Linked DNA regions of Drosophila melanogaster. The protein of the gene in region 1 interacts with the protein of each later gene in a pairwise test. Each region holds a gene or a part of one and is shown in the gene's direction. Other genes may lie near its edges.

Region 1 (7,329 bases):
ACAATTATCTAAGAGCTCTATTGGCAAAAGCATTTCAAGATCAAAGAACTTCTAAAAAATGTATGGTAAGTATGGTATGTATGTAAATTAAGGACATAATTCGCAGTCTATTAATGCAAAATATTTTCATACCTCTTTGAAAAAACGATCTAAAACAGCGAATTCCAATAAGACGAGGTGGCCGAGAGGTTAAGGCGTTGGACTGCTAATCCAATGTGCTCTGCACGCGTGGGTTCGAATCCCATCCTCGTCGGTTGTCTTTTTTTCTTTTTAATTTTATCCTTAATTTATTTTATTGGTCTCCATGTTAATTACATTTCTAATCTTTTCTAGGGTTAAAATCAATATACTTTTGTTTAAACGAAAGCAATAATAAAATAAATAAATAAAACTGAAAAGAATAAAAGCAATAAGCAAAATTTTATTTAAAAAGGATATTTTCCGACGAGGATGGGATTCGAACCCACGCGTGCAGAGCACATTGGATTAGCAGTCCAACGCCTTAACCTCTCGGCCACCTCGTCTTCGAAAAATTTTGATGTGAAAAGTACTATTTCTGGTCAAACCCTATCCAACTTCTTATCAAGAATCTCTATGAACTGAAGCTAATTAAAGGTAATATAAAAACTAAACTGATAACACTCAGTTCCAATCACAGCCGCTGGTTAAATTGCTTTAGCAAACTCTCAACTGTTTATTTAATAATTGGGTCAAATTGAACTGCAAGCAATTGGGCTTTTGAAAATTTGTTTGCTGTTAAAGAAAGTAGCTGAGTGTGGCTCGTGTGGGGTGAGTATTCAAGTGCAGCTAAAGGGTATTTAAGACAAACAATTCTTTTAGAGCTTAAAACCCAACTAATAGAATCAGAGGTATTGCGCGATGAAATTTTTCCATAAAGGGTATTTAGATACTGAGTAATTTGTTTACATAGTCTGTTTGGAGGGCGACTTCCTGAGGGGTTTTTAATAATTCAGAATCTCGTCAGCGGTCGTGCTGCTTCTGACCCAGTTCTCCGCCGATCTTCTGTCTTAGCTTCGATTTCTTTTTATATCTCTCTCTCTGTTGGTGTAAAAAACAAAAGTGGTTTACTTTAGATGGGCCATGCTCAAGCGAGTGTGCCGGTAGCAAAGTGATGATGAAGCTGATGATTTAATACGAGAGCTTCTGGCTTTTTTTAAATGGCAATGGCCATCAGCCGTGGTCCCAGCAAGCACGGCGTTTTGTTTGGGCCATGTTTGTGTCCAGGCTGTCAGTTGGTGTTAATGAACCCTTGTAGCCTGATAGCTGTTAGTTGTTTACGTTCCGAATACCGATACCAAGATAGTACTGCCAATTCTACACTGCACAAATCCACTGGAAGTACTATACTATGATTTACTGCACAAATAAAATGTACTAAGCTAGATATTAAATATATCGTAGTAATTGGAACAGATCATTGTAAACCATTTCTCATTGATGTCAGGCCAACTAGCTAGGCAGAATTTGAATAGTCGTATATTTTAACATAACAAGATGCCATGCTGACTTTCAAATATTTTCGGGCAGTGCATCAACGACATTGTCACCTAACGTGGCTTCGTTAGGAAAGTGGCCAAGTTTGATGATCCGCAGGCACGCGCGTTTTATATTTAGCCCCACACCAGGGCGACTGCGATCCTCGCGCCAGAGGCTTCGAGGAGCGGGGCTAGTCACGTGCACAAGGACATTCCAAGGCTAATTACGTGTGGCATGGGGCTTGGCCAAGTTGGGTACTTCGGGTTCGGGCTTGGGTTTGTGTTTGAGCTTGGATTTGGGCTTGGTTCTTAGCTGGACTCTGGGATAGTGCCTTGAGTTGGGTAATAGTAATACACACATAGAACACGAACCGTTCGTTATTGTCGTCGCTTGTTGCGGCAGTTGCCGCAATCTGCGGCATGTATCTGTATCTTTTGCATCTGCGTGGATGTTACTGCTCCTGCTGCTGCTGCAATCGCCGCTTAATTAGCTGCGTAATTTATTATTGCTCTAATCTCAACGCCGGCGCCAGTGCCGTTGGCTTTGACAAATAAACAAATTATTCATATTAGAATATTAATAGTGCCTGCAGGGGTTTATCTGCACCGGAGTATGTGGAGTATCTGGCATAATTATGACCTGTTTGACAGACTGTTCTCTCCTGTTCCCTTTTCCTTTTCCTGGCCAGCCTGGGATTCTTTGGCTGGCATTACACTGGCTCTTGCCTGGTAATCGTTAGGCGGACAATAAAGTTGCACACTAACTAAATATGTAGGCACGCCGATGCAATCGCACAATTATGCTCAATTATGCAACTGGGAAGAGATCTTTAGATCAGCAGAAGCAGGTGCTTTAAGCAGGCACTAGGTGCTATCTGCTTGGTGCTAGGTGCCATGTGGAATGCAGGGCGGATATCATTGACTAATGAGCCCATCTCCGACTCAAACTCGACGTCTTCTTTTGCCCTGTCATAAAAATTAAAATGCATAATCGCGGGCGTTTCTCGCAGGGCTCTTGTTACACCAGTCGAGAGACCTTTTGCCGGTATAATTAACATTGCTCGCGATTCCACCAAGCTGGCTAGCAAAATGCAGCAAGTGCATGTGGATATTTATATAATTTGCAGCTGTCAGGTTTATTCACAGTCGGGGCTAATTAAGCCGGCGTTTAAGCCGCTGGCAATTAGACGATTTATCACTTGCCACAGAACCTCAAAATCATGCCCTTAGATCGCTGAGAAAGGCCAAGCAAATGCAAACAAACTTATGGCCCAAACACTCTGCTTACCACACACTTAACCACTTCACTTCGCTTCTTCAATGCTGCGCATGCGCAGCTCCCGTCGACGGCGCCGTCGGCAGAGAGTTGGGAACCGGGAATGCGGGGATTCTGGCCAGGCCCCCATATATAAAGCGTCGATTCTGGCCGCGATCACACTCATTTCCAGTTGAACGCGCCTGCCGACCAGTGGGCCAATTGATTCGTTAGCATTTCGATTAGGACTCTTCTGCTAAATTAAGAAATCACCGATCTTCACTTACTGACCAGGTAAATTTTTGTACATAAAGTGTTTGTGGAAAAAGTGTGAAAACATCAAACATAAAATTAAGGGTAATTGTTTAAAATTGCCGATCAAAAGGTGAAAAAAATTAAAAATTTTTGAATGCGAACACATACTAAGCAAAGAAATGGAAAAACAGCGGCTTTACTTCAGAGTAGAATACAATTTAATAAGTAGATATTAGTAAACCAAAAGTGCCTACTTTATTTAATTATGAATTATTAGCTTGGGGATACTGCACACTTCGGGGTATACTTTTTGCTCCGATCTCGGCCGGCGATGGGGCTCCAAAGTACTGGCCATATTTTTTCCGTTGTTCACTTGTGCTGGTGGGGGAAAATCCGCTGGTTGCGCAATTGGAGTGTGAGAAACTAGCTCGAAGCATGCAAATCAGCTTGAATGGGGCTTGGGGTCAGTCGGGGATCGACAGAAGATATACTCACCGCCAATGCCATGATCCAATTACAGCTATCAAATGGGTAACCACATGTGGAGCATCATACTAATGCTGCTGGTGCTGGAGCAACTAGTGGCCGACTCTGTGGCAGCCAATCTAGCCCAGCTGGTGAAGAAGCAGAGCCAACAGAAGCAGTTGCAATCCTCGCAGCCAGGACTGCAGGTGGGACAACAACAGTCGCAGGGACAGCAGATCCACACGCAGCAGTATGTCCAAGACACATTGGGCGAGCAGCAGGATCTAAAGTCGGAGGACGAGGAGGAACACGATCCCTACCAGATGATGCAGGAGTCGAAACAGGAGTCGCGATTGCCCAACTCTGCCAACTATCCCTGGAGTCCATATGCCGCACCTCAGGGCAATCCTTACGATGCCATGCCCAAGATGCTTCCCTTCATTGGCTATGCCCAGCCAGTGCTCATACCCGTCCCACTCTACCTGGCTCCGGATATGTTCTATCCCGCCTTTTCTGGCGCCAGCAACGATCTCGAGGATGTGGTGATGTCACGAGCCTCCGGTGGTCGGCGTCCTGGGGCCAATCACGCGTCATCAGCCCGCAATTCGCCCATCTACTACGTAAGACTGCCGCCCACACCGTATATGTTTTTGCCCAATATGCCAACGGCTCCATTTGGGGGTGGATTCTCACCACTGCTGACCTACCAGCCCATGCCCTCATTCTCCGCCTACGGTTCGGTATTCAATTTGCCCGTGAACTTCCTGGCCAACGGAAAGCCCACTGGAGTCTACCAAGTGAACGGATCTCCGGGTGAGGCGATGGGATCCCTGACACCTGGCTTGGGTGGCGGTGGATATGGAATGCGGCCACCGACGCCTAGTAATCCCTACAGACCCATGTCGTCGCCTTCGATGGGTGGTTATGGAGGCTCTCAGCAGAGCTTTGGACTCGCCTCCATGCCGGTTCCTCAGCAGGACTCCAAGCTGACATCGCTGAAGCGTCCGTTCGTGTTCAACGGTCGTCCCGAGGACATATACATCCTGCCAAACAACTTGGGTCCGCTCTACAACGAGCAGAGCTACTACTAATTGCACTTCAGGCAAATGGCTGTGGCAACAACTGAAAGTATTACATAATGCATTTACTAGATCGTCTTTTCGATCGTAACGAAGCTTGAGAAAAACAATTTAATAAACTATACACTTGGAAAAAATGTTTTTTTTTTTTTGGTGTAGCATCCAATTTGACGTCATACAACGAAATAGCTTATTTTTATTATATTTATGTACGTATATGTAATCTTCTCCATCAATTATATTTTGTATAAATTGTATATTTTTGGCCGAAAATATCAGATGGTGTAGACCAATAAATAGTAGTCATAATATCCTTATCAGCCGATGTTCTCGGACTTTAAGCGGCAAAGGCTTAAGTAAATGCAGTCGGCCACATATCGATGTAAATTCCAAAAAAGTCGAGAGGAGTGCTCCACAATCAGTCACCAATGGCTGCCACCTGGGCTGTCTTCCGCCTAATATACTCCTGATCCCCCAGATTGATGGCAGCTCCAACCAAGCCTCCCGTTTTCAAATCGAACTCATAGACGCGTGGCACGCAATTTGGAATGTTAACCTTTTCGATGGCCTCGTTGGAGATTCCTACGGAGTGACCATCGATGTAAACCATAAGCTATTGCTAAGCCTATCTAACTTACCCTCAATGTGCTGGACGAGAGCACGGGCCACAGTTCCGTGGACGCACATTAGTACCCGGGTGCCTTGGAACACTTCCCGCCTGACCTCCTTCCACACGGGTTTCACTCGATCGACGCACATGTGAAGGGATTCCGCGAGGGGGAACTCACCGCGAGGAACATCATCGAATATGGGATTGCTGCAAATGGTGTAGAAGTAGCGGTTCTTCTCATCGATGGGCGGCGGTACGCAGTCGTATCCACGTCGCCAGGCCTGAACCTGCTCCTCCCCATAGCGATCGGCTACCACTCGTTTCCGGCAACCAGTCAGATTTCCGTAGTGCCTTTCGCACAGCCGCCAATCCTCCTTAATGGGCACATAGGCGCAGTTCAACTTGGAGAGTATCAATTCGGCCGTTTGACGAGATCTGCTCAATACGGATGAATAGACCACGTCGAATTCCAACTCGGATTGGACGAGCGCGGGAATCGCCACAGTCAGGGCCTCCTGGACGCCTAGTTGTTAGATAAATAAGAAGTTAACTGGGTATTTTAAACTATTTTAATCCTAATCTCACCGAATTCACTCAATGGCGCATCATGCCAACCGCAGAATTTGTTCTCAATGTTGAAATCACTTTCGCCATGCCTCAAAATCACCAAGCGATTTGTTTTCGTCATAAATTGGGAGCTGGATGGGAAAGAGATACTTTTGAAAGTTGCATAAATACATGAAGTGCATAAATATAATAAGTAATAATATAAGAAGTGTTACGGCCTAAACTTAAACCAGCACTTTTTTAAAGTTTACTATTAATCTTGACTTTACTACTCCAAAAAGTAAACGTTTGCGATTTAAGCCAGTTTTCAATGTAATTCAAGGACTTTTTCGATGGCCCGCGGGTTTTGCTCGTAATTCCAACGCAGTGACACTTTATTCTAAGCTTTATCTAACCTCGCCTCTTTATTTTGCTTTCGGTTTATCCACCATAAAGTTTAGTGGGGGACTTAGTTGTCCGGTTGGCTGGGGGTGAAGTGCAATCTTTTTGGAGGTGCTAGTAGCTAATGTCAGACAGCGGATGATAAGGGTACCGATGTTTCCACTAGAACTGCCGAGCGCCGTACAACCGAGATTCGTGACTAGAGAATTTGAATGTGTGCTCACCTCGACACCGTCCGGATGCGATTGAAGCGCGGTCCAGTGGCGGAAGCCCGCGAAACCTCGACAAAAAAAGAAGGAAAACAAAAAACAATCCGAAATACGAAAGCACGGCGCATTCCGCACATACTTTTCGGCTAGTGTATCTGATAGATACAAAGCGCGGCAAAATCGCGCGCGGCTGGGCCAACATGACGAGACAAAAACAAAATATAATTCGCATTATCTGATGTCCAGACGGCAGCATAATCACACGAACACACCCCCAATAAAGCTGGCCCATTCATTCACACAGATACTATTTGCTGGCTCGGCGTCGTTTTGGGTTTTTGTGTTTTGCTCGCCACGTTCTCGTTCGCTTTCGCGTTTTCGGTCCCAGTTCGAATCCCACTGGTTCTCGGATTCTCTTGCAGATTCCCCGCCTATGTAGGCACCAGTACCAGGTAGCCGAATACTCGGGGGACACCAGATACTTCCTAGACGTAAACAACGCGCGCCCACACCTTCGCCTTCGCATACTTACGCCTGAATTTCGCGCATTGTTATTCTCGTGGGTTGTATCTTTTTTCGTATCTTTTTGTTGTATCTCTCTATTTCGTTAGGATTTTCGCGTGTGTTTACTTTGTGTTGTGGTTGCCTTTATATACGTTACAGTTTGCTCTTCAAGAACTTGAAGAAAACCATGGTCTTCCCGTTGCAGCTGCAGCCACCACGTTCCTGTATCTTTCGGATGCCAATCCGCACTAAGCCCGATTCTTATTGGCAAACAATTTTATCGCGGCGCAGTTGGTTTTTGTTGTTGTTGTTCGTTTATTTTGTTGTTGCTTTTGTTTTTTTTTTTGTATTGTTTTGCGGCTGCGGCGGATATTTAATTGTTTTGTTGTGCTGTCGTTGCCGCCAAACAGCTGATTCGCTGGGTTTTACGCTCAATTTCGAATCGCGACTGGGGAAAATCAATAATAGTAACATTTACTGAAATTTTCGTATTTGTTTTTGTGTTTTC
Region 2 (8,147 bases), 4.8 Mb from region 1:
ATTTTATTGTTTGAGATTTCAAACATACATTTTATCTCCCTTTGTTAAGCCGACAAATTTAATGCGAATTCCTAACCCTCTCGGTGCAACATTCTTATATTTATACTCTCCAGAAAGGCACTCAATCTGCAGGAGCAAAAAGGATATATGGAAAAGGAGGAAGAAGTGGGAATTTTGGTAACACACATAAGTAACGCACAAGGAAATCGGGACATAAACGGAAACGAAAACGAAAACTGTTCAACTGTTGAAATCATAAAATATTACCTTTCGCAATACAATTTATTTAAATCAAAGTCTAAAGCGTTATTTACGAGCACTGTGGGGTTGGATGGGTTGCTTTTCGGTGGAAATTGGGGGTGTGCGAGGGTGGATCGATGGGTTTGGAGGGGTTTGCGTGTGGTCCTTTATACATTCATTCCCGCCATTGTTTGCATTCTGAAAGAAGACAAAAGCCAAGCCCCCAAAAGCGAAGGAAAGCGCGTCACACAAATTTGGCTGACTAATAGCCGCAAATAGCCGAAACGATGATAATGATGTGATGGGTGGTCTGGTCAGCCCAACTTTGCTATGCCAGGATCCATATTTATGGAGGCTTCTGCCCACGGACGGGAACTACAACTCCATTTGCTTTTAACCATTCCATTTCACGTTCTGCACGTTTATTGTTTTACCATGCTTTCTGCCTATTATACAAAATTCTACAACAGACGGATGGACAAGAGCCTTCTCCATTTGCCTAATGTGTTTGTGTGTGTGAGTTGGAAAATCGAAATTCGGAAAATTCCGAAATTGAAATGGAGTGTGTCTCGGGTATTTAGCAGGAATAATGTTAGTTTTTGTTCGACTACCTTCAATTGCCAAATTAATTGCAGTTAAGTCGAGCAAGCTAAGCCCAGCTTGCTTGCCCTCTCTATCACTGCCCCTATTCCCCTCTCTTTCGCATTGCAAACTTTGCTGAGTGTCTGTCTGTCTGTGTGTGTGTGTGTTTCTATGTGTGTGTGCATCCTAAAGTGGAGTCAATGAAAATTGCAACTCCCACTTTGCTCGTACGTCAATTAGACCTCCTTCTCAGCCACCCTCTCATGTCATCTCCTTTCGCTCACACACACAAACAGGCAGTGTGTGCCAGAGGCTCCTGTCTTTCTCCTTCTCTCTCTCTCTCTCTCTCTCTTTCTACCCCTGTGTCCATCTCTTTCCATTGCAGCTTTAGCTCTTTTATTGCAGTGCAATTTGTTGTAGAAATCGTTTTGTCCGACAGTTGAACAGTTTGTTATTTCTTTTAAATGTTCCCAAGCAAAGGAGCTTTTCCAAATTTTTGTGGCTTGCCTTGGCCAGCGGTCAGGCATTGAGATTAATGGGAGTTTCCTTCTCAGTCCATCCTTTAAACTGCACAGGCAAAAGGATCTCCTACGGTATGTATTTGAATTATCACAGATTCCTATAATAATGTGCCTGTTTTTTTCTTTCAGTTTTACTTAAGCTACCACATTTCTCTTAATTCTTCTAATTCGATATAATGTACAACAGACTTTTTAAAATATATAATATTTTTAAGTGATCCTTAAAAGCCTTAAGATCTTTACTTTTCAGTGTAACCTTTAGTTAACCTCTTTGATGGCATTTCCAATTTTCCCAAATGAGCGCAATCAAATCCGAGTTGAAATTTCCTCGAGAACAGAGCGAAACACAAATGAAATCATCTGAAGGTGCTGAGTGAACGCAATTTCCATTTGTGAATTGAGATTGAAATGGAAATGGGGCACCACCTAAGTGTCACTATTTCTGAAACCGTCGAGGTGGCCGGAATTCTTCCAATTCCCCACTCCATTGTTTCCCGGAAAAGCCCCGTCCCCCATTGGATTTATTTTTTATACACCCCCAATCCCACTCTAAAGTCTTACACGAAAACGAATCAAAAACAAGCAATGCACAGAGGGAAATTACGGAAAAATGTGTTACGGACGCAGGTGATGGCTCCGTCAACACACACACACACACACATGCACAGCTCCTCCAAGGGGAAATGGGAGGTGGTGGGTGGCAGATGGGGGTGCTGGGCGGGTGCAAGGGTGGCGCCTTGCCCTCAGCACGTGGAGACGCACTTTGGCAAAAGCAATCTTCTAAACAGGATAAATGTAATTGCGCATGAATTTCTACGCATATTTCGGCGTCGCTGTCTGAGCTGCAAATGTTTGTTACCCATTTGTTTGGTTGTGTTTTTTATGCTCGCTTTTCCCGTCGCTGAAAAGCGTTCTCCGACATTTCGAGGAGCTGTCACCCCATTGGCCCTCCACTGGCCACGCCCCCAAAGAGAGTGCTCTCTCCGGTCTCGCCGTCTCTCTCTTTCGACGGGTAATTGACTCGCATAATGTTTGTTTTGTTTTGAGCAAATCGTTTGCAACACTCTTTGAATGCCTCGTGGTTGTCTCATAAAAAGCGAAAGCATTTAAAAATTCAATTTGCCCTCTCTCTCATTCTCTCTCTCTCTAACTTTTTCTTGCTCTCACCCGCTCTTTTTCTGCAAAGTTTGCAGAGCTCCTTCGCAAAAATGGCCGCCTGTTCGCTTTTTGGGGGAGGTTTTCTCTTTGGGGAACGGAACGCTGTGGAATGAAACATGCTATAAGGTAGAAAGCTCAGAGATTCCAAATAAAAGAAGAAACGGGAATGCATTACAATGACATGAACGATACTAAATATAACTTAATACGTTGGGAAATTGCTTACATATTTTTAATTATTTAAATATAATTGTTGAAAATCTTTCACTTAATTTCTTAAGGATACCTTCTATCCTCGTATTTTTGATAATATCGTTTTTGATTAACGTTGTTCTTCACCATTTCGTTATCAAACATAATAAATACATTTGATATTTTATACATTTGATAACACCCACAAAACCTCTTTTACTTTTCTTTGCATAATTTATAAGTTGCTTGTTTATTTCTTTCGATATTTTAGCAATTCAATGATTTATCTATATCACCGAACCCCATTTGTTGAAACTTTCACCGCTCAATCTGCTAACCGCAAGGTTGCAATCGACTGGTGCATTTTCGGCACACACTTTTCTGGTCGAAAAAGTTTGCATCTGGCTGGCTGGGAAATTTCAATGGCGCCACAGAGCAACACTTGACCCCTGTTAGGTGGCAATTGATTGATTTTATATTGGCATTTCAATAGACACCAGCCGAGCGAAGCGATTCGAGTCGAGCCGAGTGCGCCCCCACTTTAGACGCGTTCCAAATGCCAAGTGTTTCCCATTCGGGGGGTAGGAAAACCAAAGCGCACTCCACCAGCACCGCAGAGAAAAAATAGTAAAGGAGGAAAATGCGAAAAGTGTCTGTCGATGCGGTTGCAGTGCAATTGTCGAAATAAACGAAAAGAAATTCCGAACTGCAAATGGAATGAAAAAGAGCGGCAGAAGGGGTGGGCCACCAGGCGGTGAAAGAGAGGGACAGCGAGAGCGATAGAGAGAGAGTGGGACACACCCTCCCAGGAGGGGTAGCAAATACGCAAGTGTGTGTGTGAGTGCGGAAAACCATTTAGCGCAAAGACCAAAAGAATTTGCAGGGCTGCCAGCCAACCACCTCAGTCTCAGTTTCAGTTCCACGCTCTCCGGACACGAGACCGGGGGTTAAAAATCCAGAGACTGAAACAATAAAAACACTAAACGATCGCTTTGCCACACACAAACACAAGCACACACACACACGCAGACACACACAAGCACTCGCATACATACAGAGACAGAAAGGACGAAGGACTCAGAACACAGAACTCAGGACTGCGTCTGTTAACAGCCGCATTTAAATTCAAATGCGAAACGTTGATCAAACGGTGCAGACGTGTTTCTCCCAACGGTAGCGCTCGGCGTTTTCCCTTAACGAGTTTTTCGTGGCACGACTGAAGTGTACAAGGTTTGGAAAATTCTTTATTTTCCTAACAAATATATATAAAACAAAAAAAAAAAAACACACACACAAGTGCAAGTTGAAGAACAAAAGTGCTGAATTAAACGTTTAAACTGCAAATCTAAGCAAAAATCTCAAGCTATGTCTTCCTCCGAGGCCGAAGTTGACATCAGTGTGGTGTCCAGTCCGGAGCCGAGTCCTTTGGGCGCCGCTGCCCGCGACAGTCCGCTGCTGGCCCGCTCGCCGGCCCGTTCCGCCGACGGCAGTTCGCCCCCGGCCACGCCTACCCATCGCTCCAATACGCCCAACACGGCCGCCGGCACGCCCACAACGTCCGCCTCGGGCGGCAATCACTTCCATCACAGTCCCAGCGGAGGCGCTGTGCCGCCGGCGGTGTTGCACCATCATCTGCAGCACCATCTGAGCAGCCTGGGCAGCCATCCGGTGGCGCTGCATCACGCGCTCCACACCTTTGGCCACTTGCATCCCGCCCACGGGGCCACACATCCCGCCCTGCTGCAGCACGCACTCACGCCCACCGGCCAGCAGCAGCAGCAACAGTTGCAGGTGCAGCAGCAACACCAGCAGTCGCATGTCGAGCGCCTTAGTCCGCCAATGAAGAGTCCGGAGCGGAATGGCGGCGATGAGGTGCAAGGACACAGTCTGAACAACAACAACAGTAAGGCCCTCAATCACAACAACACTTGCGCCTCGGCGGCCGCAGCGGCGGCAGCAGCAGCGGTGGCAGCGGCCAACCTGAGCAACAACAGCAACGACAGCAACGGGAGCAGCGGGGGCGGCGGCGGCAAGAGCACCACCGGCTCCAACGGATTCACCAGCTTCTCCATCTCCAGCATCCTGAGTCGCAGTGAGCCGGCCAAGAAGAACGGCGCCGCCGGACTTATCACTCCGATCCCGCAGTTGCCGCAACCAGGAGCCGGCGGTCCACAGGATGCGGCCATGTTGTCCAGGTAATTAAAAAACATTCCAGACTTGCTCTAGTCAAAAATAGCCCTCCCATTTCAAATGTGATTAATCTTGTAAATATGAAGTCGCCAAATTTAAAAATCTTAGTGTCAACATTTTACTTCAATTCATTTTAACAATTTAATCTGCAAAAATTTAGTCCATCCATCTGTCATATATAATTAGTTACTTCTGACGATATTCAGCTATTCCGCCTAATTTTGATCCGCAAGATATTTTAAAAAAATACAAACTCGAACTAAAATTTCATTCAAATTTTAACCCTATAATTACTGAAATTAAATGAGTATAATTTCATATGCCCAAGGATTTCCCATTGAATACCTTTTTTTGTAATAATAAAAATCACTCGTCTTAAGTACCATACCCATTTATTGCTCAGTGTAGGCGACCCAGATTAGGACGTTCGCCGGCGAACTGAAACCAAAAAGTCAAGCCTTGCCTCAATGAGCCCAAAACCCAAAGAGGCTGCCATTCCACTTGTTCGCCCTCGGGTTGGGCCAATTTTGTATAATCGTCCTAGGGGAAGACAAGGCAAGGTGACACAAATCTCTTCGCAGGAAGTGCACAAAGAGGAGAAATGGGATGGAGACGGACTGAGATGGTAGCCGGGAGATGGTCGATAAGACCGAAAATTGTTGGGCAAACGTTACACGAGACATTAAGTGGGTGAAGATGCAAATGGCTAAAGTACCATGCCATTGTGCTCCGAGAATCTAACGATTCCAAATTCCAGATGCCAGACAGATAAAGCAAATCCAATGGAACCGTTTTTAGTTGCACTGGACGCTAGCTGACCTCGAATATATGCAGAAAAGGTCTAAACCATTTTTGCCCTGCAATTTGGCCAGACTATCGAGTTACATAACATTTGTTAGATGAAATTTAATGCACCGCTTCGGGAATGAATGTAACCGACTGTCCGGCTGATTGACGGACTGACAATGCTCCAGTATCGTATGCAAAACGTGGTCCTTTCGAATGAATGAACCCTCAGTCCCTCCAAGCTGACCCACAAAAACTGGTACGTTTCTACAGCTGTTTGTTGTGCGAATGCAACTTATTGATACACAATGTGCACTGGAAATAAACAAGTCCGAGCTAATATTAACGGATTTTGTAAAATTTAATTGTGAAAAATAGCACTCGAAAAATGTACACCTACATAAATCTATATTTATTTAGGTACTATTCATTAAAGAGCTTATTTCTCTTGCAACATATTCCATTGATTCAATTTAAATTTGTCTCAGTGCAAATGCGTTTTTTATTCATTTCATTCATATCATAAACGCTGGCATATTAACCCCACTTAGCCGGCTTTTTGAGTCAGCGATCGAATTTCCAGGCAGCTCGATTAACGCATGTGTTGAATTAAAAAAAAAAAAAAACAACCAAGAGAATTTATAAGTTGCACTTTTATTTTACGAGAGAATGGGAGGGGGACTCCCCCAGACGTTTTAGTCCTCGAACTTTTTAATAACGATCATTTTCATTTCATTTACGCGTGCCCGCGTCGCTGATCGTCTCGATAAGGAAAGTCGGGCTGGTGGGCAGGTTCTGTGGCCGAGGGTCGCTACTGTCCCAGTCAACTGGACTGTGGCCCGTGCGTGGTTACCCCAATTAAGGACCTCGTCCTGGACAAAGTGTCGCCTCCTGCTGTTTGGCGCTAGCCCAGCTGACGTGTGGCTGCCTATGTGACTGGCTTATCAGTTGATCATCATCGGCCAGAATGATTAATGCCGGGGGGATATGAATACGAGTATGAGCACAGCAACATTGCTGAGTGATCGTTTAATAGTTTGAGCCGACTTTCTCCCGGCGGAGCTCGGCTTATTTTGACAGTTGCGCTTACGTTTTTAATTAGTCGCTGGGCTTTCTCTGCAGCCTGTACTTAATTACGATTCAGTTGGGCGAGCGAGCGGGGGATTCGAAAAAGTTGCGCAGCCAGATAGCAGGAAAAAACCATTGAAGAGGTGTAACCCGATATGCTTGTGAGTGGACTGGAAACAATGGGCAACGGCGAACGGAAAGGGTGCTCCTGCATTGTCCTTTTCTCCCAGGATGACGCAAAAAGCAGACGATGACATTATAATTACACACACACATACACATACAGAGTAAGGTATACATAGAGTAATTACAATCCAATTGCAATCGCAATGGCAATTGAGGACCTAACCAATCCCATAACATATCTCTTCATCTGCAACTGATTTTCGGCGCTGAGGGGATTAGTGTTTAGTGGTGAAATGCCTTTGATTCCTTATCGCGATGTTGTGGTGGGAACTTCTATGGTCGCAATTTAATCAAAACATATTCTGCAGACCATCGGATGCATCCAATCTGAGTCTGCGGCTTGACTTCACCCCAACCTCTCGGATTCGCCGGTCACGTGTCATTTGGCGGGGCTTCCCATGGTGGCAAATCGACAAAAGATGAAATAATAGCAAAAAACCAATATCATGCTCTTCACAAATGTCACCATTTTCGGTTACTTTGTTTAGTCGCCTCAGATCAGTGGGACATAGCCTAAGCCGCTCCCCAGGCACTAGACTATTGCTAATAATCCCGTTTAATGACAAAAGCAAACTTCGCTGCCCATTCGAGTGTTTAATATTTTGCCTACTTTTGCGGCCAGGTCGAGTATGCCTCGAAAACCGTTCGAGAACCCCTCGAAAACTGCTCGAAAACCCGTACCGTTAAATGTCAACAATGTAACATAAATTCCTGGTATCGGAAGGGGAGTACGGAATTTCGGAAGGGGCGATCCCGCACGGGATGGACCAATTAGCGTGTGCAAATCTTTCATGCATGAGCGATTCCTAAGCGGTTTTAGGGCTCACAGATCGGTTGGCCACACAAATTTAAATAGATTTATTTAAATCAATTTCGCTAATGCGACAATCGTATGAAAAGTGCGGGTAATAACATTTGAATTGGTTAATACTCCACTCGTTGCTTAACTTAACCCCAGCCACACGGTTCACATCACTTTGAACTTTCGCTTGGATCTCGACACAAAGAAAGCCCCACGGATGGCTCGGGGACATCAAAGCCGAAACTCATAGCCAACCAGAAACCGATGTTCGACGCCATGTTAAACAACTCAATTGCACAGCCCATTCTATGCCTTCATGCTCTATGATGCCAAGGACAAAGGGATCCCAAGTCGCGGAATTATGATGGGTGAGCCGGGGCGAAAGGAGCCCAAAGCGAGAACCGCAAACAATTCATTAAAAG
Region 3 (7,842 bases), 1.4 Mb from region 1:
TTATTGTGAAGCGCTGTGCAGTCAATAAAGTATAACTTGAGTTGATTTGTAAAACACCCAGGATTACTGAACAAACTCCACTTTTTTTTATTAAATGAATTGGAATGATTTGGAATAAAAATAGACCAGCATTCCCTGCTATTATTATGCGTCTTCTTTCCGATTCTGCAGTATTAATTGGTGACCTTTCCGCTCCTAATATGTGACCCCTCGCTGTCCGTTGGCACCCACACAGAGACACTTCGAAGGACACCCACGGGACACACGAATGGAGGATGGGTGCCACTCACTTACCTTGACAGACGTGGCATTGCAGGAGCACTGCAACAGCAGCAACAATAGCGAGCTGCGACCATGTGATGATGATGGGTAATCCGTGGGCAATCGGCGTGCTCGTCCTTGTCGATGGTTTTATTGTTGCTACTGCTGCTGATGGGGCTTCCGCTTGTCCCTGACGACGCGTTTTCCACGAGGTGGTTTCCCTGACCAACCTGCTCGCTTTCCTCCACATTTTCGGCTGGGCGATTGAAACAAAAGGCGGAATCAAAGCAAAAGTAATTTCGTTGGCTCCCAAATTTTTCCACTCGTATCGAACTTTTGGATGCCTCGACGGTTACCAGAATCCTGCGCTTGCGTGCGTGGGTGAGAATGCCCGGGGTTTTGGTTTTTCGGGCACAGGTGCTTCCAGGCCGGGGGTGGGGCTTAGGTGGGAGTTCGGAATTCCGCGCTTCGACCTTGTTTCAGATTAGGTTTTCTTAATTTTGGTGGGTTTCCTTTAAGCCAGCCAAAGAGCTTGGCGGCAAAGTGTAGTAATCCGTAGTCCTTGGCGAAGTCCTTGTTTCGAGGTCTCAAAGTGCTCTATATACACACATTGCTTCGCTATATATATACATTTATCTGTATGTACTGTCGGTTGGTTATTAATTTTCTGTTTACTTTTTGTATGTTTTAACTTGTAACTTATAGTTGCATAACATTTGCTTTTTGCATTTGCAAACAATGCAATTTACGAATACCGCACTTATGAATTTCTTTTAGAAATTTCTCTAATTATTGCACAATTTTCACATTAACATTTATGGTAGTCGAGCTTATACGCGATTTACTTTGAGTAAATCTTGTGTTTGGTTTTATTTTAATTGATTGTGTTAAATAAACGGTAAAAAAGAAACGAAAAAGTTTTATTTTGGGCTATGCCCATTCTCGTTTTAACGGGTTTTCAGTTCGCGCACTATTTTTATTCGTTTCTACATGGATGCCAAAATTATATGAGTAATATAAGAGTTGATTTCGTAACCGGCTCAGGTGCAGTAGTCGCAGTCGGTTGCAATTTCAGTTTGGTGCATTCTCTTCTTGTTGTGCAGAATTTTTCAGCGCCAAAGTGGAGGAAAGTGATGCGGGAAAAAAGCGTTACGCGCGTCAGGGCGAATCAAGCTTCGGACTTAGTGTGACCGCAGCGGGAGTAAAGGAATTCGCTTTTGGTGTGGCTGCACTCGCGTCCCCGAAAGATACCATGCGGTGCTGAAAGAAATACCAAATTAAATCATTATGGGTTCAAAATATACCAAAAAGCAGAGGCTTTTTTTTTAAGGGGGATTCAATTAATAAGTATACTTTTAAATAAATTAATAAGATGTAAGACGATATTATCTTTGAAAAATGTATAAAATTTAAATAAAACTTTAAAAATCGTATCTTTTTGATCCAAATTTCGGAAAGTGTTGCAATTTCATTTTCGAATTGTATTGTCAAAACCTGCCGCTCAGGTAGCGCACTCAGCGACCGTTATATTCAAAATGTTTGTGCTGAGAGCAAAATTATTGAAAAAAAGTAAGAGCCTCGTCCATTTACTCATCTGTTGTCCTCACACTATCTTTAGTGCAACCGCAAAGGCCACAAAAACATGACAGTACGCACAGGAAAACAAGCATTGCAAATGACTTCACAACTGAAATGGAAAAAAAAAAATGCAAAATACGGACAGTCCGTATGCGGTTTCGTTGTGCCAAGTTAAAATATTTGCATTTGCGGTCTAGTCTTTTTGCATTTTCAACCACCAAATAATCCCTTCAGACTCTGTTTGTGGGCTCTATGTGTATATAATTTTTTTAGGCTGCAATAAGGCTCCGAGTTCATTCTTGCACTCGTTTTACTTTAAAGTTTTGGCCATAGTGTATACTGAGATAAGGAGTAATAAGTAGAGAAGGGTATAGCATTGGAAAAACGGATACTAGAGGGAGGTGAGGGCGCAGAGTAAAGGATTATGTGGGAAGTGGAGGGCGTTGCGCATCCGGCAAAACAGAAAGAGCAAAACTTTTACTACAAGCGCGTAAACACTGCAATTTCTGCACGAGGGGTAGTCTAAGAGCATTAAGGGGAGGCAATCCGGAAGTTGCGAATGGAATGGAAACAGGATTCTGCGCATATGCTGTCCTACGAATGCGTAAATTATGAATATATCATTCAAATTAAAATGTAAAGTTAGAATAAACAATAATAACAGCGAAATATGTGTGGAATTTATATGATATTCTGCGTCATGCACCACAATGCGCATTATATAATAATTGTTATTATAACACCTGCATAAGGCCTATTTTTCTATTTCGAAAGAATGATTATTCTTATGATGAAGAACGTTCAAAATATTACGCGCCAAGCTTGAATCCAAGTTCTCCACCCCGGTTTGAGGACGCACTAAAATGTATAATATTCCTGCGGGATATTTCTGGAACTTTCACAATCGATATTCGCTGCGTAGACATCGATGCTGCCGCCATCGAGTTATGTTCCATCCCTACGTGCAACGGTCACTCTTATTTCATCAAACGAAACGGACGTGTTTCTGCAGACTATTTACATTACAAAATTGTTTGTAACAGATAGTGAGCCGTGTATACATAACGAGGTGAAGCAGACGATGCACTAATGTAAAGGCGCAGTGCCAGAGCAACTTTTTGGCGTGTTCCCCGCGTGGAACTGCATTTTTTTTTGTTTCCTTCCTCAGTTTTGTGTGTGGAGTGCGAGCGAGAGAGCGTGCTAGCGAGCAGGAGCAGAACGGTAAGTACTGGCGGCCAGACAGAGACAGAGAGAGCGCAAAAAAAGAGCGAACGGCAAAAAGTCAAAACGGTAAAAAAACATAAACCAACGCCTCGCCTTTTCGGGGAAAAGTATTACCTGAAAATCTGAAAAAGGTTAAAAACCTACAAAAAGTCCCCTTGCCATTAGTGTCAAATTACGAATTGGCACTTGGCTGCCCATTTCTCATTCTCAATCCGGGGCTGAGGCTGCTCAGCTGGACAAGGAGAGGGAATAAATTCGTAGCAGGCGCTGCTTTGGTGTTCATATTCATCATATTGTAATTTTGATTCCTCGCAATTGCAAAATTTAAGCATACGTTTTAACTTCCTCTAACGCCTTTAATTACAGAACAAATTACCGTGAAATTTTAGCACTAGCCGTACGTTATTTTGTATATTTGTACGCATGTACGTGTACGTGCCCCTCGTCCGTCTGCACAAATGCAGATGTGCATGTGCATCACAGTGAATTGGAGTATTTTTATACATGGAATATCTGAGCTATTGTAGTATTCCGGATAGAGCCAACAACCACAAAGACGAGGAGTTTCCACGAGAAATAGGAAAAAGGAACGGAGGAGCAAATAAGCAGCAGCAGGAGGAGGCGTAGAGCTTGACCAGGTGTCAAGGGAAGCCGGATAGGCTTAAAGGCAGGTCTACCTTAGGAACTAAGAAATAGGATAAATCGAATACCCTTATAATCATCACATCTACCAATCGAAGCACAGGAAGCGGTAAGTTTCGAAATCTGACTTACAACTTACTCCCATTCTAGTATTTGCTTGCTTTTTCACGCAATTTACATTAATTGTTTGTTTATTAGTTTAATAACACACTACTACTACTATAACACACTGCCTCCAGTACGAATGCACTCCCAATAAGCGATCGCGATCCCATTTAGAGCAGCACCCACACACTCCAACTGGTTTTGTTTACAAACAAACATGAAACAAGTGAGCCTATCTGCCAGCCAGGTTTTCGTTTTCCTCGCCATGGAGTGAAAAGAGCCATGCACGTACTTCGTCTGCTGGAAAACTGGTTTTCTTCTGGCTTGAAGGTGCTTGGCCGCAAACTGCAGCGGAGTTGGTTTTTCTAGGCCAGCAGAGAGCTCCAAAGAGAACACCACAGTGAATATTGGCCAATGTTTGTCTTCATATTCTTATCAATCAGCATTGAACGCTTGCTTAGCAAAACAACAATGAAATTCCGTTTGGTAGTATTATAACTAAAAGAAATCATATCGTAAACAGTTTTAAGTGATCTAGTTCTTGCGGTCTCCACTGTGCCGATGGAAGTGCTGACGGAATGCCAAACTGGTTGTAGCCATAAAGACGACAGCAGCCCATAGCTCACCTCCTACGCTCGCTGGCAGCTGCTTCTTTGTGGCTGCCTTTGTTTTGTTCCGCTTTAAGGCCAGTACTGACTAATAGCGCCACTTGTTACCGTGTGTCACCTATGTACAAGTATTTAGGCTGCGCAAGTGACTAGTCCATTGATAAAACCGGCGCGATAAGGTGTCGAGCCATCTTCGAAAGCATTTTGGATGTATACACGCCCCGCGAGTGACATCATACACCACATTCCAATTAAAGAGCTCAATTGATTGAAATATTAAAGAATAAAGAAAAGGGTAAAAGAGGGAGTGCATTTGTAAAATAGCCCTTAGTCATAAGATGTAAACACATAATTTGCATGATCATTTTTGGTTGCTTTTGCACACGTTTGATTTAACTCTCATTCGCATGTACTCACGGCTTTGACTGAAAACCTAATACGCCAAGCATTTTCCACATCGCCAACTCCATTTTCACTTTCATTTCCATCTTACTAACATTACGATTTGTACATCTGTTTTGCTCTGGCCGCGGTTTTCCTAACTCTCCGTGTGTGCCTGTGCGTGTGACGGTGCGATTGTATGCGTGTGCAGATCCTTCGAAGGTCCTCCTATGTTCCCTCAACAGGGAGGGGGTGGGAAGGGAACCAGGCCACAGTCGACACATCAGCAGAACCACAACCATCAAGCCCAGCATCACCAGGCGACGCACTCGCACCACCATCACCTCCAGCAACAGCAGGAGCAGCAGCAGTCCCACGCAGTGTTCGTCCCGAACCACAGCGGCCTGCACCACCACCAGCAGCAGCACTTACTGCAACAGCAGCAGCAGCAACACCAACAACAAGCAGCCGTCGCCGCCGCTCATCTTCAGCAACACATCCAACAGCAACAACAGCAGCAGGTGCAAGCCCAGGCCCAGGCGCACCACCAGCCGGTCATCTTCTACAATACCCAGCCGTCCTACGCCGCGCATTCCGCGGCGGTTAACAACAGTGCCAACGGCGGCGGCGCTACCCTCCAACTGAGCGCCGCCGCCAGTTCCAACACGTTGGGACATCCTCTTACTGGTGGTCACCATGGTGGAGCAAATGGCGTGGCGCCGGGGTCAAACATGCCTCGTGCCCTGAGCAACCCAACTCTACCACCCCACTTTCAACAATCAGCTGGCCTGATCGCACCTGCCGGCGGAAATGCGGGTGGACCCTACATTTCCGCCACCTATATACCAATTAATCAGACCGGACCTCTGATGGGCATGCAGCCAGCTGTGACCTTTCCCACTAACGGAGCGGCTGGAGCTTCATTCTATGCGGCTGCGCCACCTCCTCCACAACAGAAACAGCTTCCTCCCACTGCTCAACAACAAGGTCCAGGCGGGGCACCGGGAGCTGCTCAAACGCCGACACTAGCTTACTACCAACTTGGGCCGAACGCTCAAAACTCTGCTGGAAACAACGTGGTTAGTGGTGCCAATACACATCGCGGCAATATGCGCGGAGGGCAAAGATCTACTCCCACCGCCCAACATACCAACTACTTTACCGCATATACCATGGCCCCAGGAAATGCCCAACGTCCCGCTCCGACAAATGTGGCTCCAATGATGAACTCGCGCAGCGGTGCACTGAACGGAGCTGCTGCTTTTCATCATCTGCCGCACAACTTTGGCATTCCCAGTTTGGCATTGGGACCGCCCGCCGGGATGACGACCCCTATTTTGGCTCCGGCTGGAATGCAGGCGCCGCCACCCCAACCACCAGGCGGGCTGCACACATTTGCTCCGCACTTGCAGAGCAACAGCGCCACCACCTTACCTAGTGTCCCAAGTGTGACTGGAGTTCCCGCGGTGGCCAGTGGTTTTTCAACCACCTCGCTTCCAACTCCGTCAGTAACAACAGCACCGCAACTGGGGGCCAACAGCGATAAGGTATGCAAGCGCAAATACGCCATTCCCATCATCCATCCTGACACCATGGAGAATGTGATGGATGGATGGAAAAGATCGGTTTTTATAAAAAAGGACTCAAACTCGACACTAACACAGCACACAGATCTGGACACAGCTCTGGATGACAATAGTACCTTGTGCCTGTACCAGGCGCCCACTCTGATGGACTCTGGCTCGGGGTCATCGTTATTGTCTGGCGCAATGGTAGATCAGCAGATGCAGACTGTGAAGCCGGCGAGTTCCCTTAAGCAGTCCGTTTCCTTGGAAAAGGTGCCAGAAGCGGTGTACTGCAAAGACGCTGTCGGTCAGGACGTACACCCATCGCCTCCACCCAAATCAACGGATAAAGATCAGATCAGCGTAATTGTAAAAGACATACTAGCCCACTCGGGCAACGCAGAAGACCATCTAAGCTTCTGGCAATATAGTGACGGTGAGTTCATAAAAACGTCCAAATTTTCTTTAGAATTGTATTTGTAAACGAAGGGAAGCATCTCAATATCGTTGAAATGTTGAATTGAAGTTAGCCGGGCTTCAAGTGTCAAAGTCTAATGATTCCTCTTGCAGTGGACAATGTCACGGAGACCCACAATAGCCTGCCGCTAGTACAGTCGGACTTGCCCGATACAACCGATACGTGCCAGCAGCCAGTGCTTTTCCAAGAGCAAGCCAAAAAGCAACGTCCCAAATTGGCCAACAAACAAAGTATGTTCCGTGACAATTAATCCATTAACGTCGACTAAATTGTTTGCTCACAGGTACAGCTACGCCAGCATCCATAGCGAATGACGTAGCTGAGGCAGCAGCCAGCGGTTGCCCAGGCGTCTCCATCCTGTCCAGAGGCCAGTCGATGGTAACACCAGCTGGCCCCTCGACACCCCCGCCACCTTCGCGTGTCGCCCAGCAGAAGTCGACCAAGTCGATAGTTACCACAGCTGTAGCTGCGTCGGTTAAGCCAACAACGGGTTCACCCAACAGGAAGTCGAGTATTCAAGCCGCCACCTCGACTACGACCAGTTCGGGTGCCTCTTCGTCGACAGCCTCAACACCGACCCACGCATCTAGTAAGCTTAAACAGCAGCCTGTTAACAATCTGCAGCATGGAAAGCAGATTCCAGGAAAAGTATCAACTCCAGCATTACCACCGACTGCTTCACGAATCTCGGCCGCTGTTACCCTGCTTGCCGGCACCGCGAACATAACAACCACTACCAACTCGTCCAAGAAACAACGGCAGGCCCAAAAACGGGCCAGGGAGCTGGAGAAGAAAAAACAGAAATCCTCGATAACAAGCACTACAAGCACTCAAGGGCAGAACAACAATGGCAAGGGCAATGGTAATGGCAACGCCGCGCTAGAAATTAACACAAATAGCAACAATGCTGCCACAGTGACCACAACATCAATGAGCACACTGACCACAACAACCACGGCAACAGCACCCACAACCAAACAAGAAACGGCGGCTGTCGATG
Region 4 (7,136 bases), on another chromosome or scaffold:
CGAAGAATCAACTTCAACATCTCCAACGTCTACCTCTACTTCAAGTCCTCCGGTGACTACTGCCAATCCCATTGCCAATCCCTGTAGGTTTAGTACAAATGGTGATCTCAAGGATCCTGCTCCACTACTAACACCGCAAGGAGCTCTCAGCTGGCTGCTGCCCGATGAAAGTGGGCTTTACACCGTGGAAGAAGGATCCTCCATTGATCTGCACTGCACTGGAGCTCTGGTATCACCATTTAATAGGTATACAGCTCTGAGCGCTCGTTGTGTTGGTGATCAATTGTACGAGGCCGAAGGACAGCTGGTCAATATTCGAGGATTCGTCTGCCAGAGTTGGCCCACATATGCGGCAGTCCGATCGGGACAATCTTGCGCTGGTGGTACGGATGTGGTGCACATCGGCTTCGATGTGGCTGCCGGTTTTCTTAGCCATGTTGAGCTCTGCTACGATCAGCAGGAGCAGATCTCCAGATACGCTCGCTATGAACTGACTCCGGCCAATGTGGCCTACCAAAAGGGTGTTGCTCAACCGGGCTATCTTCGAGGTGACTTCTATAGCGGCGAAGATGTCAATGTTCTATATGACCAATCACACCAGCTGGATGCATTTAGTACGGCCCTGGGATTAGATGCCAGTCAGTACTTTGACAGCACTAAGGATCTCTATTTGACCAGAGGACAGCTGGCAGCTCGTCTTGATTTCGTCCATAGTTCCGCCCAGAGAGCCACCCACTTTTATGTGAACGCAGTTCCTCAATGGAGAAGCATCAATATTGGAAATTGGCTTGCAGTGGAATCCAGTTTGAAGCAATTTGTGGCGGATGAGGCACTTAATGTGAGTGTACATGCCGGCAGCTATGATATCTCAACTCTACCCAATTCACAAGGTGTCCAGACACCTCTGTATCTGAATGCCGAGACCAAACAACTGCCAGTAGCTAAGATCCTCTATCGCATTGTTATCGATCAGGAAAGTCGCAAGGGAGTAGTTCTAATTGTGGTCAACAATCCACATATAACATTGACGGAGACCCTCGAGGATTATGTGATCTGTGAGGATGTGGGAGCGCAAATCGATTGGTTGGACTGGGACAAAGCAAACCTGCAGAAGGGCTACTCCTATGCGTGCTCTGTAGAAGATTTCATCGAAGTGGTTAAGGATTTGCCCACAGATCAACTGCAAACAACAGGAATTCTTGGTTTGACTGATCAAATCTTGGACAATGAAGTGTGCAGCTTTAAAGTGAACGGTGATCTTAAGGATCCGGCTCCTTTATTTGTAGTCAGGAGTGAATTGGGTCATGCGAGATATTTGGAACCGAATCAAGAAGGAGTAGTTCAGCTAAAACATGGAGAAGCCCTTGAGTTCCACTGCATCAATTCTTTCAGTGGACCCTTCTCTGGTTATACCTTCGTCAATTCAACATGCTGGCAACAGCAGAGCATCCTGGCAATGGGCAGTTTGTATCAGCTGCAGGACTTTGTCTGCACTTCCTGGCCAACATACACTGCTCGTCGCTCTGGTCGTCCCTGCAATGGTGGTACTGATCTGCTTGAAGTGGGCTTTCAGCTGTCATCCTCCTCGAGCGACGACTTCCTGCAGACCTATGACGTGTGTCACGATGAACTGAGCGAAGTCACCCGCTATGTGCATCATGTTTTGTACCCCGGAAGTGACCAATATCAGCGATCTGTATCCAGGCCATCCTTTATACCCGGCGACTTTTACGGAGGCAAGGATGTGAACACTTTGTACACCCAAGTTCAACAGAATATCACGGTTTCCGAGATTTTGGGCATGGATGCCTCACCATACTTCAACACCACTGGTAATGTCTATCTGGCTCGGGGTCACCTTTCTGCAAAGACCGACTTTGTCTTTGGGGCCGCTCAAAAGGCGAGCTTCTTCTTTGTGAATGCGGCACCTCAGTGGCAGACCTTTAATGGCGGAAACTGGGAACGAATCGAGGACAGTGTGAGAAAGTTTGTGGCGGATGAAAACATCACAGTGGATTGCTATACGGGCACATGGGGTGTGTCCACCCTGCCGGATGTAAATGGCATTGGAAGGGAGCTCTATTTGGACTTTGATGAAAACAACAATGGTCTGATTCCAGTGCCAAAGTTGTACTTCCGCGTGATTATCGATCGCGAGAGCAGAAATGGCATCGTGCTACTTGGAGTTAACAACCCACATGCCACCATTGAGCAAATCGAAGAGGAGTACATCATCTGCCAGGATATTGGCGCCCAACTGAGTTGGGTCAGTTGGACCAAAGAGGACCTAAAGAAGGGCTATTCATATGCCTGTACTGTGGAGGACTTTACTGCAGTGGTGAAAGACCTACCTTTACAAGACCTGTTTGTCGATGGAGTCCTGGGTGTTTAATATCAGATTTTGTGGGTGTGCAATTTCCAAAAAAAAAAACGAATTTCTTAATTTAAAACCAATAAAAAGACTATCTTAAAGAAAACAGGTTTTTATTGAAGGGTAGCCCTTAGGAAAATGCTTAAAGGCACGTTTAAATTAAGTTCTCATGGGCCATAAAACAGTGAAATCACGTTTAGCTTTTGTTCTCTTTGGAGTTTATTGCATGTTGGACATATTGATAAGAGTAAGGTTATCAAATGCTTGACGTTATCGTTTATGGCCGGGGTAGAGCTATTTATTTACCCAGCCATTGGATTATTTGCTCACGTGCCGCACGTTTCCAAAAGCCTTAATTTTTTCTGCTGTTCCAGTAGCCCAAGAGGCAGTCCCTTGGCCCGAATCGAAGTCCCAATGGCAGTGACTTTCACATTTTCTTATCGAAGCTAAGGAAATACCTTGTATTACTTGTGCGGTTCCCTTTGTTTATCTTATCGCAACACAATCGTCGCAGAACGTATGAAGTATACGCCTGCTTGGTTAATAATTATAATGGACTTTTTAGGGGGTAAACAAAAGGCAAAAACCGTAAATGAAGCAGATAGAAACCAAAATTGATTTATATTGGTCGAGTAATCATTCACTTAGAATTGTTGCGGATTCAACAATGCGGTTAAACTTCGTTTTAATTAATCAGTAATATCTATCAAGGCTGAAAGTGTGTGTTATTTTGTTAAGCAATGTTTATTTACCCCTGTTCAAGGCGTAGTTCAGAGACCGTTTAATAGATAGTTCTATTCGGCTAACCTACTGCTGAAATATTTAGGCAGTAACTTATTAATCGTGTAAGTTTTAATGTACTGCATTTAAACAGCCATACAAAAATATTCAATTAGCGCTGTTTAATGAACTTTTATTTATGTTAGAAAGAGTCAGAACAATAATCATCATATTTCGGTGATTTAATTTTGCAAATAATCATTACCGCAACTCATCAACCATGAAATATCAAAATGATATAAATATGAGGGATTTAGGGAAATGAATTTAGTTAGTTTCGGAATTTTACAAGAGAAAATGGAACTTGTTGGTATATATTTGATATTAGCCACGACGATTGTTGTCCAAGGATACAGAAGTAAGTCAGCGAACAGGATAAGGGATAAAATCTAAAAAATTCCCCACTATCAATACAGAATTTGGACTTAGTTGTGAGGATATTGCCTGTATATCTGGTAAAAAATGCATTGTATCCAGAGTTCCCTGCGAAAACCCAAATCAGCAAGAAGGAGAACAATGTGGAACCTATCCGGAGTGCCAATCAGGTTCGTAAAATTTTGTTTTTTCATCGGTTCACACTGAAATCTGGTCCTTTTCAACTGATCCGTTTCAGATCAGCTGGCCAGCGATTTCATCATCGACACTACACAGACCACTGCCAACACCCGAAACAGCATCATCATACCCAGCACTTCCACGAGTCGCAATCGGAATAATAGGAACAGTGACTTTAAACTGCTGAGCGATTTCAGTAACTCCGATACATTTGCCACCCATGCAGGCCAACGGCAGGCTAATGTTTTGGTTATTGTTCAAGATGGTTCCCAGCAACCTCAACAGCCAAATCCTTGGCTAAATCGAGGACAAAGTCCTCCCTGTACCATCAGTCCGCTCTACCCATATTCCTGTACTTATCCCCGTTATCCGAATTCGGGAGCAGGATTGCCTTCTTATACGCAGCAGCGATCGGCCAATGGGCCACAATTAGTTCCTCCCACTCCACCATGCTACTATAACTGCTATCCCAGTGTGCGGTCAAGTTCATATGGTCAATATGGATACCCCCTGTCTAGATCAGCCAATCCCTCATCAACCAATAACTATTTAATCTACCTCACATTAGCTGGCTAAAAGACCAGGAGCTTTAGTTATGTGCAAATAATAAATATAGAATCTATTATCAACCTTTTTTTTTCGTTTCTATATCTTCGCCAGTTTTGCACCGTTTCCGGCGAACGCCACAAATGCCTTATCAGCCTGTGGGGATGCCAGCTTCAATGCCACCCGGGTATCCACCACCTCGCCCACCGTTTCAAATGCAGCAGCCGCGTCAAGTTGCACCACAATATGTGATTCCACCTCAGCCCAACCCACAGTACGCAATTCAATACCAGGCCAACCGGCAATATGCCATGCAAGGACAACCCAATTCGGCCAATCCTTGGCTCCACTTCTCAGTAGGGATGTCCTATCCAACGTATATGAACTATAATGGACGTTCCGCTGGGAACTCACTTCCATCATTTTACAATCCGTACCCACCCAGTTATAGTACCTATAATTACAATATTAACTTACCCTTTTCGGGTGGATCTTCCTAAGATCTTCGATACTGGTTAAAAAAAATTCAAAGCTACTCAGCACCGGATGGACTCCTTCCGAACATTATTTCATTACTTTCAAATTTGTCGTTCCTAAAATTAATAGCTAATACATATATTTGTCAGCTTCTCTGGGGGAAACGATGACGGATTCCGAAATGGATTCTGATGCAACACTACCACAATTTCACAATCGATCGGCACGTCAGATTCCAATGCGTCCCATGCCAGGACCAATGCCAATGCCAGGAGCGCTGCCGTATCCTGGTCCTGTTTCAATGAATGTACCATCTCCGGGGCGTGCGTATTATCCCTCGTATATGGGACAACCTTATATGGGACAACCGTACATGCCAGGTGCCATGCCCATGATGCCAATGATGCCCCAGGGAGGTGGAACTATGGGTGGTACCAGCATAATTGTGGAGCCCTTAATAATCCTGCCAATGGGCATTGGGGCAGGCACGGGTACGGGCGTGAATCCAAATTCATATTATGGATCGAATGGAGCTTATCCCACGTATAACAATTACAATCCCTACAATACGTACACTACTGCACGACCCAGCTACGACTATAACAATTATAACAACAACAATAATAACAATAACAACGATTACAACTCATATGGTTAGATTTCAATTAAATGATCCCCGAAATCTACATGATCATTATTCATTTACAAATGAATCGAAAGCTGTCCAGGTATGAATATATTGTGTACATACATTGTTTGCCAGGTCATTTAACAATAGATTATTTTCGATTATTAAATAAGAAAAATGTCAAATATAATTGACGATTAATCTTGAATAAAATTATTGAGATACATCATTCGCGAGATAAATCACTTTTTGTTTTAGCTCTGTAAAGAAAGGGGATCGACAAAAGCAAAGAACTTAATGCGACCTAGACCTAAATACACATACATATGTATAAAGGTATATAGATAGAAAGAACTCGGAAGTACTCAAAAAATGCAAACAATCCAATGGTATTATATCTTTATTCTCAGAGAGATTACAAGACAAAGAAGCAAAACGAAAGAGAGAGCGAGAGAGAGAGAGAGATGTAAGATACAAGAGCACGAACTGAGAATATAAATAAAAACACCTGTTCACCAAACAAATAATTCAGTCGGCGGTTAGATAGCAACTTAACCGGTCGAGTTGAGTTTCCAACAAAATGATGCTTCAGTTTATCGGCCTAATTTTGGCGGTCGTGATTCTGCGAGAGATTCGGGCACGTGAGGCGATCGCAACCATTCCAGATGTGGGTCAGATAATCAAAGATCTCGATGGACTGCACATCGATGGAGAAATGTTTCATCAAGGTATGTGGTCGCCTAAAAGTTAATAACCATACGTTTATCCAAAGCAGACTGAGCTTTGTTTGAGTAGTTTGACTGTAGTGGTCACATTCGGAATGAAATATATGTACATTTTGGAATGCAAAAAGGTCTGATGTTTGTTTTTCTTAAAAAAAACTATATTGTAGAAACAATAACCTTATTTACACATAAAAGTCACCTGCTTCAACAAAGTAAAATACATAGCACCAAAGGGCTGGAAAATAAATTAGTCTTAAAATTGGTTAAAATTCAAAATAAGAAAGACTTAAATATTTAAAAATATATATATGAATATAAAATTATTATATTACAATTGTTATATATATATTGTTCGTATATATAATAATATTATTGTGTTGTAAAATATTTAATCTTTATGTCATCGCCTAAAATTATGCCAAGAATTTTTAGCCACATCTTTTAACACACCTAACTTCCCATTTTAGGTTCTCCCTGCAGAGTGGATGTGCAAAATGATCTGCCCCGTTTGGATAAAGTGCAGCCGCTGTACCTGCGCCCAGGAACAGATCTCTACTGGCTGCCCAATGCTTATGGGCACCTGGAGGTTCAACGCGGCGCCAGCATCGAGCTGCACTGCAGCCATTCGTTCGCGCCCGCGAATGGAGAGTCTTTGGATGCGAAGCTGCGTTCCATTCGGGTGAAGTGCGTGCAGGACACCACCTTCGAGTGGATGGGGGCTAAAATCCATTTCAGCGACTTTGTCTGCAATCACTCCATGCCCTACACCGTGGAGCGATTGGACAGGAGTTGTGGCAGCGACACTCCGAGTCCATCCACCTCGTACTTGTATCGCGTGGGCTATGACACCGGAGATGGCAGATTTGTGGCCACCATGGAGCTGTGCCACGACCCAAATCAACTGCGCACCCACTACGCCCACCATCAACTGACACCGGCGAATGTGCACTTCCAGAAAAAATTGAAACGCCCGAGGTTTAGCACCGCCGGCCATTTCACGGGCTTTGACATGGCCAGAATTTATTCGCCCAAGAGCCAGGAGAAACTGATGGTG

The links.
Region 2: the proteins of CG13857 (region 1) and Hmx interact in a two-hybrid assay, tested with the Drosophila melanogaster proteins (one large-scale study listed by BioGRID).
Region 3: the proteins of CG13857 (region 1) and eIF4G2 interact in a two-hybrid assay, tested with the Drosophila melanogaster proteins (one large-scale study listed by BioGRID).
Region 4: the proteins of CG13857 (region 1) and CG43894 interact in a two-hybrid assay, tested with the Drosophila melanogaster proteins (one large-scale study listed by BioGRID).

The regions. Positions count from the first base shown.
Region 1 is NT_033777.3:22,389,723-22,397,051, reverse strand, and holds CG13857 (uncharacterized protein), read left to right. Parts: upstream 1-2,947; 5' UTR 2,948-3,045; intron 3,046-3,526; 5' UTR 3,527-3,533; coding exon 3,534-4,562; 3' UTR 4,563-4,863; downstream 4,864-7,329. Other genes in the region: CG7059 (uncharacterized protein), read right to left, coding at 4,969-5,132, 5,189-5,683, 5,746-5,858, 6,979-7,010.
Region 2 is NT_033777.3:17,555,306-17,563,452, forward strand, and holds the start of Hmx (H6-like-homeobox), read left to right. Parts: upstream 1-3,624; 5' UTR 3,625-4,058; coding exon 4,059-4,888; intron 4,889-8,147. UniProt on the Drosophila melanogaster protein: Transcription factor involved in specification of neuronal cell types.
Region 3 is NT_033777.3:23,814,199-23,822,040, reverse strand, and holds the start of eIF4G2 (eukaryotic translation initiation factor 4G2), read left to right. Parts: upstream 1-2,803; 5' UTR 2,804-3,060; intron 3,061-3,221; exon of another isoform or gene 3,222-3,429; 5' UTR 3,430-3,814; intron 3,815-5,010; 5' UTR 5,011-5,029; coding exon 5,030-6,800; intron 6,801-6,934; coding exon 6,935-7,072; intron 7,073-7,125; coding exon 7,126-7,842. Other genes in the region: CG34355 (uncharacterized protein), read right to left, coding at 295-511.
Region 4 is NT_037436.4:12,886,776-12,893,911, forward strand, and holds CG43894 (uncharacterized protein), read left to right. Parts: upstream 1-2,994; 5' UTR 2,995-3,448; coding exon 3,449-3,509; intron 3,510-3,567; coding exon 3,568-3,696; intron 3,697-3,764; coding exon 3,765-4,282; 3' UTR 4,283-4,330; downstream 4,331-7,136. Other genes in the region: CG14120 (uncharacterized protein), read left to right, coding at 1-2,392; CG14118 (uncharacterized protein), read left to right, coding at 5,938-6,085, 6,550-7,136.